Caenorhabditis elegans: one gene and its partner. The protein of the gene in region 2 interacts with the protein of the main gene of each other region in a pairwise test. Each region holds a gene or a part of one and is shown on either strand. Other genes may lie near its edges.

Evidence for each region.
Region 1: the proteins of chtb-1 (region 2) and arrd-24 interact in a two-hybrid assay, tested with the Caenorhabditis elegans proteins (one large-scale study listed by BioGRID).

What each region holds. Positions count from the first base shown.
Region 1 is NC_003284.9:13,978,569-13,982,144, forward strand, and holds arrd-24 (Arrestin C-terminal-like domain-containing protein), read right to left. Parts: upstream 1,950-3,576; 5' UTR 1,939-1,949; coding exon 1,757-1,938; intron 1,713-1,756; coding exon 1,607-1,712; intron 1,513-1,606; coding exon 1,350-1,512; intron 1,307-1,349; coding exon 1,197-1,306; intron 1,152-1,196; coding exon 672-1,151; 3' UTR 501-671; downstream 1-500. Other genes in the region: F48F7.6 (Zf-C4pol domain-containing protein), read left to right, coding at 1-212.
Region 2 is NC_003281.10:9,349,341-9,357,182, forward strand, and holds the start of chtb-1 (Chitin binding domain (ChtBD2) containing chtb-1), read right to left. Parts: upstream 6,006-7,842; coding exon 5,972-6,005; intron 5,628-5,971; coding exon 5,510-5,627; intron 5,463-5,509; coding exon 5,323-5,462; intron 5,060-5,322; exon of another isoform or gene 4,880-5,059; intron 4,432-4,879; coding exon 4,329-4,431; intron 4,285-4,328; coding exon 4,187-4,284; intron 4,135-4,186; coding exon 4,036-4,134; intron 3,986-4,035; coding exon 3,548-3,985; intron 3,382-3,547; coding exon 2,735-3,381; intron 2,689-2,734; coding exon 2,469-2,688; intron 2,423-2,468; coding exon 2,285-2,422; intron 2,027-2,284; coding exon 1,901-2,026; intron 1,842-1,900; coding exon 1,608-1,841; intron 1,561-1,607; coding exon 1,312-1,560; intron 1,250-1,311; coding exon 1,190-1,249; intron 1,142-1,189; coding exon 1,013-1,141; intron 959-1,012; coding exon 842-958; intron 796-841; coding exon 112-795; intron 34-111; coding exon 1-33.

The DNA of each region.
Region 1 (3,576 bases), on a different chromosome or scaffold from region 2:
GACGTAAAGCTCGTCGAATGCAAAGATCTGAATACAAACACGCAGAGGAAGACAATAAAGGTGTTCGCCAAAGACTTGCCGCCAAACTTGTGGCCAAGAAATCGGAAATTATTGAGCGTTTCTGCCTTGCTCAACGTACTGTCTTTGTTAAAGCAGATTGTCCAAATGTCTATGGCCGGACAACCACTCACATTTCCTATCTTTTAGAATAAGTTGCTGTCGTCGTTGCACTGTTATCTTGTTTCACTACTGCACAAAAAGTGGCTCACAAAAAAATCCTGTAAAATTGTCTATAAAAATTCACCGTCAATCTCGAATATCACTACTCCTCATATTATTTTCTGAAATGTTTTTTTTTAAACTTATCTGTTGATTGTAATAAACTTGTAATTTACAATTCATCCTTATAGTTTTTTGAATCTACCCTACCTTATTTTTTGCCAAATGAATATTTTTGAAACTCAATGTTTAGCAATAGAGAAAGAAAATTGATTGACTAATGTAAATGGCCAGAATTTTATTAATTCACAATTATACAAGAAAAAATAAAATAAAATACCCAATTAAATTTTAGTTACACACATTGATTCCTCATAAGACGGCGGTAGAGCGGATGTTCCCGCTGTATCATCGGTCGGAGCACTTGGAACCACAGTTGAATAGGCTGGAGGTTAGGAATCCAGCCGCTCAAGGACAGGTGGATCAGACGGAAAGGTAGTTACCGTTGGCTCCACGATCGATTCAGTTATTGGCACTGTGCCGATGATGATATCAAACTCGCAGTGCAATGTATTATTAAGGGTTGTTAAAGTGTCCAACCTCACAGAAAGACAATACTCAATGCTGATAATGGGACTTGTAAATGTTGGTGGCGACTTTGGGATTTTCATCCGCAGCATTTCACGGCCAGCGGTTTTTGGAGCAATTTTTATGCTTTTTCGAGCTTCTGCAATACGTTTGCTTTCATCCTTGTGATGTTCGTGGTAAGACGAATGAGTGCATAAGAGGCCATGGTTTTTGCTAGCATTGTAATGCGAGTGCTGATGAAGTTCAGCTCGCACAAACGTTGCTGCACGTTTGGAAGCATTGTCAATGTCGATTGTGATTGGCAGGTATTCTCCAGGAGCATATCCTGCTTTGGGGATAGTTACCTGAAAGCATTAAATAACCTATCAATGTAGCAGCGTTGTACTCACAGTTATTGTTACTATTCCTTTTTTAAATATTTGCCCAATGTCCTTCACATCCTTCATCATTCTAGGAACATTTCCCAACGGAAGATGATTCAAGTCAAAGTTGGGAATAACTGAAAAATAACTTTTTGCGCACATTAACAATTTTCGAAATACCTTTGAAGTCTTCCCTTTCGTTTTTGTTGAACTTCCATGGTCTGTCAAGCTCAACTCGCACGGAATAACGAACGTGGCCGTGGAAACCTTCAAAACTAGGTGGACATTCTATCGGGAGTGGAAATGCAAACGGGAAGACATGGTGGCCAGATGGAAGTTTTTCCTGTAACAATATTGTAGTTTGTTATCAGTTAAATGCATGAAACTAAATACTCAAGATCGTCTTTTGTACATTACACTTCCAATTTAAGACTTACAGTTCCATTTCTTGCACTCCATGCAATCGTTTCTCCAGAGACGTAGTCAACTTCTGCAGAGTAGTGCACAATTTCAGTATAACTTTCCTCTTTTCCTTCACAATTACTAAACTCTTGTATGTCATTAGGTCTAGATGTCTTGGAGCTTACGTTCTGTATCGTCGTTCCCCTTCACTCCACTTCGTATGCGCAGCACCGTGAATACAGATTTTCAAGAATCGGGCAGTGATTGGCTCGTTGGATCTCAAAACAACCTGCCCAGTAACAGTTTGACCTGGTGCATAACCTCTCGGGCTATCGAACACAATTCCAAAGTGATCCATATGTTCCATATCTAAACTAAAAAGATACAAGGAAATTTAGAATTTTAATTAAGGAAAATGTTGTATGATTATAAAATGAATGAAAACTGATAAAATGAAGTGGTTATCAAATAAATTGCCGTTTTATAATATATTGTGACTCAAAACGCGTAATCAGGAGGTAAAATGTCGTCATCAGTCTTATACCGTGCGTTATTTGATTTTTGTGAAATCATATTTATATTATAAAACGGCAATTTATTTGATAACCACTTCATTTTATCAGTTTTCATTCATTTTATAATCATACAACATTTTCCTTAATTAAAATTCTAAATTTCCTTGTATCTTTTTAGTTTAGATATGGAACATATGGATCACTTTGGAATTGTGTTCGATAGCCCGAGAGGTTATGCACCAGGTCAAACTGTTACTGGGCAGGTTGTTTTGAGATCCAACGAGCCAATCACTGCCCGATTCTTGAAAATCTGTTTTCACGGTGCTGCGCATACGAAGTGGAGTGAAGGGGAACGACGATACAGAACGTAAGCTCCAAGACATCTAGACCTAATGACATACAAGAGTTTAGTAATTGTGAAGGAAAAGAGGAAAGTTATACTGAAATTGTGCACTACTCTGCAGAAGTTGACTACGTCTCTGGAGAAACGATTGCATGGAGTGCAAGAAATGGAACTGTAAGTCTTAAATTGGAAGTGTAATGTACAAAAGACGATCTTGAGTATTTAGTTTCATGCCTTTAACTTCACAGAATATTTTACTCTCTGGCTTCACAGAATATTTTAATCTCTGGCTTCACCGTATATTTTACTCTCTGGCTTCACAGAATATTTTACTCTCTGGCTTCGCAGAATATTTTACTCTCTGGCTTCACCGTATATTTTACTCTCTGGCTTCACCGTATATTTTACTCTCTGGCTTCACAGAATATTTTACTCTCTGGCTTCGCAGAATATTTTACTCTCTGGCTTCACCGTATATTTTACTCTCTGGCTTCACAGAATATTTTACTCTCTGGCTTTACAGAATATTTTACTCCCTGGCTTCACACTTTTTTGAATTTGGTTTCGAAATTCTGAAAGAACACAAAATTTGCAACAAAATGGCTACAGGATTTTTGAAAAAGTTAGTTTGACGCCAGATTCTAATTTTTGAAAATTGGAAAATCTACTAATTTTGCATGGTCGTTTTTAGTCATTCTCAAACTGTGCACTAAAAGGTATGACTGAAAATCCACTTTTTCTGCTTGAACTCCGCTAGAGGAATTTCTGTATCCGAATTATTTTTTACAGGCATATACCTTGACGAAATTACAAAAAAAAATTTTTGGAATTTTGGGAGACTTGATATGGCCCTGAATAGAAAATTTTTTTCTAAGATTATTGGTAAAGTTCGGGACCTGGAAATTAAATTTAAGCCACGCTAGAGGGGTTTCTGTATCCGAATTATTTTTTACAGGCATATACCTTGACGAAATTACAAAAAAAAAATTTTGGAATTTTGGGAGACTTGATATGGCCCTGAATAGACAATTTTTTTCTAAGATTATTGGTAAAGTTCGGGAAATATACGGTGAAGCCAGAGAGTAAAATATACGGTGAAGCCCGAGAGTAAAAAATACGGTGAAGCCAGAGAGTAAATGTTATATAT
Region 2 (7,842 bases):
CGATTTGATTAGCAGTGAGGCAAAGTCCGGTGGCTAAAGTTTTCATAATTAATGAAGGTGAAATCATATAATGTTCAAAACTGTTCATATAATTTTGATTGAATAACTTACTACACTGAAGATCGATACAAGTTCCTGGATTGACGCCGTTGGTGATGAGTGGACTGTTTGGAATGTAGACAACGACGTATCCTGGTGGGCAGAGTCCATCAATAGCTGGTCCGACTTGGCATGACTCATCAGTATATCTGACAACTGGGCAGCAGTTAACTTGGTTGGAATCGCAAGCGTATCCGGCTGGGCATCCTCCGTTGAATCCAGTTCCTGTGCATGGGCCAATGGAAATCTCATCGGTACAGGTGACACTTGCTGGGCAGCAGACTCCGTTGGTAAGGGAGTATCCGTCGATACAAACTCCGTTGACAGAGGGAAGACCAGTTGATCCATCAGTACAGGTGGCAGAGCAGCAAAGGTTTCCTTGAACGGTGTATCCAGTTGGGCAAAGTCCATTGATGGTTGGGCCGAGAACTTCTCCTCCATTTGGACAACTGTTGATGGGGCAGCAAATGTTTCCGGTGGTGCAAGTGTATCCAGATCCGCAATAGTATGAGACTTGAACTCCTCCGCATCCATCTCCGGTGCATGATGGAATGCAAGCTCCGACGGCGTCAGATCCGTCAAGACATTTGACAGTGGTTGATGTTCCGGCGCAGCAAAGTCCATTGGAGCAAGTGTATCCAGTTCCGCATTGTCCGTTCACACATCCTCCAGCAGCTTGGGTTCCATCAGGGCAGACTGGAAAGTTCGAAGATTAGAATGTAAAGTCTACATTAAAAATTACCGAATGGGTTAGTGGTGGTGGTCTGTGGGCAGCAAACGTTGTTGCTACAGGTGTATCCACTAGCGCATCTTCCAGACATGCAGGCTCCAACAGCGTTTCCTCCAGATGGGCAGGTGTCTAGAATAAGATTCATTTGAATAAATACCTATATCGATAAACTATAAAACTTACAGACAGAGATTCTTGGAGCAGAGTTGTATGATGGGCAGCATTGGTTTTGGATGCAACTGTATCCAGTGGCACAATATCCAGAGCTGCATCCTCCGACAGAGTATCCACCTCCTGGGCATGAGTTTTGTGCTGAAATATCAGAAATAAGTTCAGCGTTCAAATTTTCAGAGTACTCACGGATAGTGATGATTTGTGGGGCATTCTGGCATCCGACGCAGTTGCTGGATCCTCCGCCCACTGAAAAGTTAAATATAAATATCTGACTGTACATACAATTTGTTAGAAAAATGTTTTATTACTGCATCCACATGAGTAAGACGAAAATCGTGCAGGATCTGAATCTGGGAAGTTTGCTGAAGCTTCCATCTCATTTTCATCTTGTTTTTGCTTTCTTCTCTTCGTTTTTCTCTTTTTTGGGTTCTTAGGATCAGTGAGTGGTAGTAAAAGCGGACAGCAGAGGTTAATAGCGGTATCACAGTGCAATCCAGCTGGACATTCTGAACCAACAGAGCAGATCAAGGAAGACTGGAAACCTCCGGCACAAGAAACTGTAAAAGACATCTGGAAGGTGCAAGTGATGTTAGAAGGTGCTCACCACCATCTCCTTGAGCTCTTATCAGAACTTCATCCAAGTTGGATAAATGTTCAGGGAACCCATAGCCAGGAGGTCCGATTGGAAAATCATTTTGAAGAAGTGGATCAGAGAGGGGATCCACGTCTTTCTTTTTGGGTTTTCTGTGCTTTTTACTAGAGTTAGACTTTTTCGTATTATTTTTGGTTTTTGTGGTTTCTGGTTGTGACGGGTTAGTTGTGCTGTTGGTGTCAGAATCTGAATTATGGAAGTGTGCTGGTTGTGGGAAGTGATCAAAAATGATTGAAAATACTTACCAATAATAGCTGAGCCAGAGTTGGATCCACTGGAGCAACAGTATCCGTTGTTGCAAGTTCCGACGGAGCATGGGTTGGAGTTGGAGCAGCTAGAGAATGTGCACACGAGTCCGCTGGCTTGTTGACCTGTACATAAATATTACAAATGTAAATTGAGATTATTGGAGTATGGATTTTCATAATGAAGAATGTTAGAAGTAAGTATTCATGCGAAGGTTTAATGTGGTTAGTTATGTTATTTAATTGAATATGTCGGTGTACACGTGTTTGTCAAAGAGATTGGGATTGAAGCATTGTATCTGGATCTGAAATACATAAAGTTTGAATTAAGTTCATTTTCTTTGAACCTCACCTTTTAGGTATTAGCTAATTGACAGCATCTACCCCGTTGATTACAGAAATAGGGAGATGGACACTGCAAACTGTATCGGCAGGAAGTTCCGAATCTTGGATCAACTTCAACAGATCCTATGGGGCATTCTGAGGAAACCTCAGCTGTTACACTTCCTTCGACGACAAGTCCTGGAAATCATTAGTTCAATTAAGTTTGGGATGCCATGTTTCTTACCAGGACTATAACAGCATGCAAAATGTTCCTTATTGAGTAAAGTACATTTGTGAGATGATGATGGGCAGTGATCATGATTACTAGCAGACTGACATGAAGTTTCAGGAACCGTCCCGTCTGGGCAATGAATGTTCAGTTTGCAGCATTTGCCCGACAGTGAGCAAGTGAAATCGGGAGGGCACAGAGTATGTAAATCACATCTTTGCGTGGATAAACATTTCTAAAAAATAACATTGAATATTTTACCACCTCGAGTAGAAACTTACATTTTTGTTAATCGATACACCACTGGTTTTGTCAACTTTCTTCCAAACTTTTGTTGCTGTTGAGATTATTTCTTCTTTTATAATTACAGGCGTGGTTTCTCCGACACTATCGGAAGTGGAATCCGCAGATTCTGAGAGGAACGGACAACATTTCCCATATTCACATCTAGAAGCAATTGGACAATCATCTGATAGAGAACAATGAACTGGAATCGAAAGAGCCATCAATCCATTTCCACATCGTGCCTTTGGTGGTTGCTTACAGCATATTCCATCTACACATTCTGACATCTCTGGGCATATAATATCGATATCACATTTTTTAACTCTGGTATCCACTTCACAGTCTCCAATTATCAGTTTTTCTGTCTCTTTGGTGTGCTCGTTGTCTTTGCTCATTGTCAAAACTTGTGATTTTATCACAGCTAATTCGATAGTTTTTGGGCAGCATCCTCCAAAAAAGCAATGTTCATTTGCTCTACAGTGATATTGAGTTTTACATGTGAATTTGACGGCTGTTAGACTTCTCGGACATACAGCCAATTTACAACAACCTTGATAACATTTGAAGGTTGTTGGACAATCTTCATCAGAAGTACAATTCGCATTTGTTCCTCCACATGTTGCAGATGATGATGATGCTCCGCCTATAAAAGTACAGTTGATGAAATGAGGTGGTTAGCTAATGCGCGTGCTTCTCATTAGGCTCCTATTTACTTTGTAAACAGTGGTGGAAACGGAGAGCGCTCTTTCCGAAATACTTTAAAGTGACCACAAACAGATGAGAAAAGGAAGGAAGAAAAGTGAACGCACCTAATGAATTGACCTCGTCCGTGTTACTACTCAAACATCGAAGTTTTGGAGGTTCAGTGGTTCTTGTCGGAGTTGGTGTGATTCCTGGAGCCATAATTTCATCTAGTCGCTGCGGTTTTTGAGTTGGGAGTGATTCGATTGCAGCACTATCAAAAATATCATTATCCACTTCAAATATTGTATTTGTTGCCTCTACAGTTGCATATCGATATACTTTTGGATGTCGTAGTAGTTTTCTTTCTTCACAGCAGTTATTCTGGCATGTCATTCCTTTTGGACACGATTCATCGATTGTGCAGACCGTCGAACATCCAATTGATGATTGCAATGCAGTTGAAGGGCAACACACTTTTTGTGCGGTACAAAAATGTCCCTTGGGACAAGAGTACGGATCCCGAGTACATGTATTATTAGGAGGAGAACCATCAGAACACAAATCTAATGGAAAGTTAGAGATCATAGGCGGGAAAAGTGTGATTAGAACCTACTTGAAGTTGTTAAAGGGATACAGTTACCATTGCGGCAAGCTGATCCCAGTGGGCATTTCGAGCAGGGATTTTCAGTGTTAGATGGGGAAGATGTTGATGCTGTTTAAGCAATTAGTGAAATAATATGTGGTTAATCATAAAAACAACTTACGGGAGAGAGAGCTCATTCTCTTTGGAACGATACAAGTTTGTTGCTCAAAGTTGAACAAGAAGTTCTCTTGGCACGACTTGCGGACCCATCGGAGAGTGCTGGAATTGAACATTTTGTTTTTTATTATGCAACGGTTTCCTACGTTTGGTCACATTGAAGGTAGGAAGATGGGAAGTCGTTATGAGCCTGAAGACAGGTGGCTGAAACGGCACAGACCTCGCTCTCGCGGGCTCCATTGTCTTGTTCTGAAAATATTTTATTGATCGATTTAGAATAATAAGATGAAATTTCAGTTTTAAACCAAATCCCCGATCTCATTAAGTTATCCCTTCTGTCTTTTCTCGCTGGGGTTCTTAAAAACAAAACACTTTTCCTCGGTAGGTCGCGGCGGCGACTGGTGAGCTCTGCGAGCTGCGTATCCCTTCCTCCAACACTCTCTTATCAACCTTCTGACCTATTTGTTGAACCCCCTCTTGGTCACGCGCCGGCGACTCTCAACGCACTGTGCGCAAGTGAGTGGTGGACAAAAGCCGGCGGAGCAAGCAGGAATTGCAAGACACCGCAAGTTGCGTTTTTTTCTTCATTCCCATCAAGAGGATTTAGGTCATTTGCGTTCATTAGAGTGGTCAAATAATGGAATTGTGAAACAAAGGATCCCAGACAAAAGTGGCGCATTTTCCTCGAATTTCCTCGAAAAGATGATGAAATTTGGTCACAAGAAATGTAGTGAATCTAGTTTTGGAATTCGTTGGCAAAATATCTACACACTATTTGTGATGTTTGTGTGTTTGTATGTGTGTGTTTTATTTTTTGGAATGAATTGAATTGAGTGAGAGGAAAAGGAAAAGAATTAAATGTAAACACACAAATACACAAGAAACACTGTCAGAAGCATAAGCAAATATGGCTTGGAGATGTCGGACTTCCACTTTTTTCTACTTTTCTTTCTTCTACAATTTCCTAGATACCTTATCGCTCGTAACAGTTCATTTCAACTTATTGTTGACCACTGTGGTTGATGTTTATTTGCGGTCAGAAGTGGGCTCGCTCATTAGTTGACTTAAGAGCTTCCACCGATTTAAAATAGAGGAATAAATGTTGGTGATGAAGAAGAATAAGAAGTCTAAGAAACTCACCACAAATGTTCGGGGAAGCTGGTTTACGAGCTTTTGGATGTTGTTGTGGCTGTGTATTTTCAGCTGGAACAGATGGTACTGATGAAGGAGCGGCGGCGGCTCTCGACTTCACAACCCAGACACCTTCACCTTCGGCACTACTAAAAGAATGAAAGATTTTCAGTTGTTTTGGTTGAATGAAACTCACTCAGCTGTCGTCTCGCACTTGAGGAAAAACTGTGTCTGTTTTCCTCCAATTTGAACATCAGCAGTTCCAAGTTTACACGTTCCGCCAATTACAGGCGTCTGTCCATGTCCAGAAGCGACTGTAAATTAAAATTGGTTTGAGAAATGATAAGAAAAATGAATGGGAAATTATTATTATTTAAATTCTCAAAATACAGTGATATTTCAGGCCTAGATTTTCAGACAAATTCTTGCAATCTAGTAGTTGAATAGTAAACTATAAGATGGAATAAGTTTGATAAGTTTTATGTATAAACCCATTTAAATTCAAGATCAAATTTAGACTATTCAGAAACTTTTTTGCCTCTGAAAATATATGGAAAAATATAGATTTTCAAGAGAGAGTATTTAATTTTAGAGCTAACATTTTTCAAAAATAAACAGAATCTAGAATGTATTATATAAAATTTGAAAGAAAGCTTACCGAGGAGGGTGATTAAAATGAGATTGCGCAGCATTATGTGTATACTGCTTTGTGATTATATGATAAATGGAAGAAGGTGGTCGATTCAGATGGAAAACAAAGCTGCTATCTTCTTCTTCTTCTTTTGGTGGACTCGACAACAATTGCCACGCTGGAAAATTTGAACACTGATAAAGTGATAAAAGGCTGTGATGGGGTGGGAGATAAGGGGAGGAGACAACGGAGCAACAAGAAGACGGAATTTGAAAATAATGGTATTGTGGGTGGGGGTTAAGATGTGAAATGTGTCTTCTCTCCGATGGTGAGGTAGAGAACGAATGAAGCAGGTAGGGTGAGAGCTAGAGGATAGGAAGCTTCCGAGGGGTTGGGGAGGTTTGTATGCGAAACGCGCCGCCCTCTCCGTCTTCTTCGTTTCTATCTTTCGTCTCTTCTCCTCTCCGCGTATACTGTACCGGTGCGGAGATTCGCACACGACGCTTGAGAAGGTGGCGAAGACGGAGAGAGGTCAGTACTCTTTCTCTGTCTCTTTCTACATCAAGTCGGCCGAAAATAGAAGCTCGGCGCTTATGAGCACGAGAATAGAAGGCGCGCGCGAGGTCGCGGTCTCTCTTGCGAAAAAGTACTATTGTTTCCTTTTTTAGGGTTATTTGGGGGAGCAACACTAAGGCGTCTCAGATGAGGTAAAACCGCCGCCAGGAAACACTGGATCAAGTTTTTTGGGGGTTGAGCAACTTCTTGGCAAGAAAAGAGTCGACGAGTTCAACTTGACCAGCGCGGACGAATTCCGGGCACGGATGAAAGAGGACAAATAATCGGAAGTGATGATGAGGGTGGCGTAATTTTATAGTTGATTTCACAAGAATTTTATGATTATGATGGAAGTGATTGACCTACAGTAGTCTTACAGTACAGTACAGTAGTCTACAGTAGTCTTGACATCTGTTCTTGAAAACATATAGTTTTGAAGACTTAAAACATCCACCATCCATGTATCGAATAATATGTAGCTAATGTTTCAAAATGATATGATGTTTTCCGGAACTACTGCATATTTCCATAACATTGAAGGACGCGCGATGCACACATTTCCAACAAAAATCGAGCACCAAGCGCCCACCGCGACTCGTATACTGTTGCAAAGTGCACATTCGGTTTCGATTCGACCGAGTCATTGTAATTTAACTGTTCTGCCACTTGTAGTCATTGCCACTTTTAAGTGAAATTGAGACCCTCCAAATCCAAATTCCCGGACATAAAAAACAACGCGCATTTTTGTAAGATCTCGTGTAATTCAAAACTCCATTATTCTAAGTGCGCAATGCACGCAATTAGTGAGACACCTCTAGTCAAATACGATGCGATGTTGGTCAGGCAATTTGAACTGGACAGGGCAGCTAATATATTATGGACTGTGAAAATTTATTCTCAGTTTTTTTTAATTTCAAGCCTTTTAATTTGAATCTATTACTGCTTCACAACGATTTTTGTTTTTGGATTATCCGTTGGCAGCGCATTCCGATTTTGAAATTTCCGTGCTATTGATGAAGCCAAAAATTTAAGCCGCTTTTGATAAGTAACTGTAAAAATTCAATTGAGTTAATGCAAATTCGGTAACTTATGTTTTAGCGTTTTTCGCTCAACTGATAATAAGATAATGTTGTTTTTAAAACTTCCAGCGTACATTAAAAAGAAATGGAAAATAATTTCCATGCATATCATTGCTAATTTCTTTACCGGTCTCTTTTTGCAAAAGTACAAGACCATTTAATTTCTCGATGGCATCCAGTTCGTTCCTTGCGTAACTGGCCATATTCATATGTAATTGAATGAAATCTCACTTTTCATTCAAAACCATCTTCCGAATCCGGAGA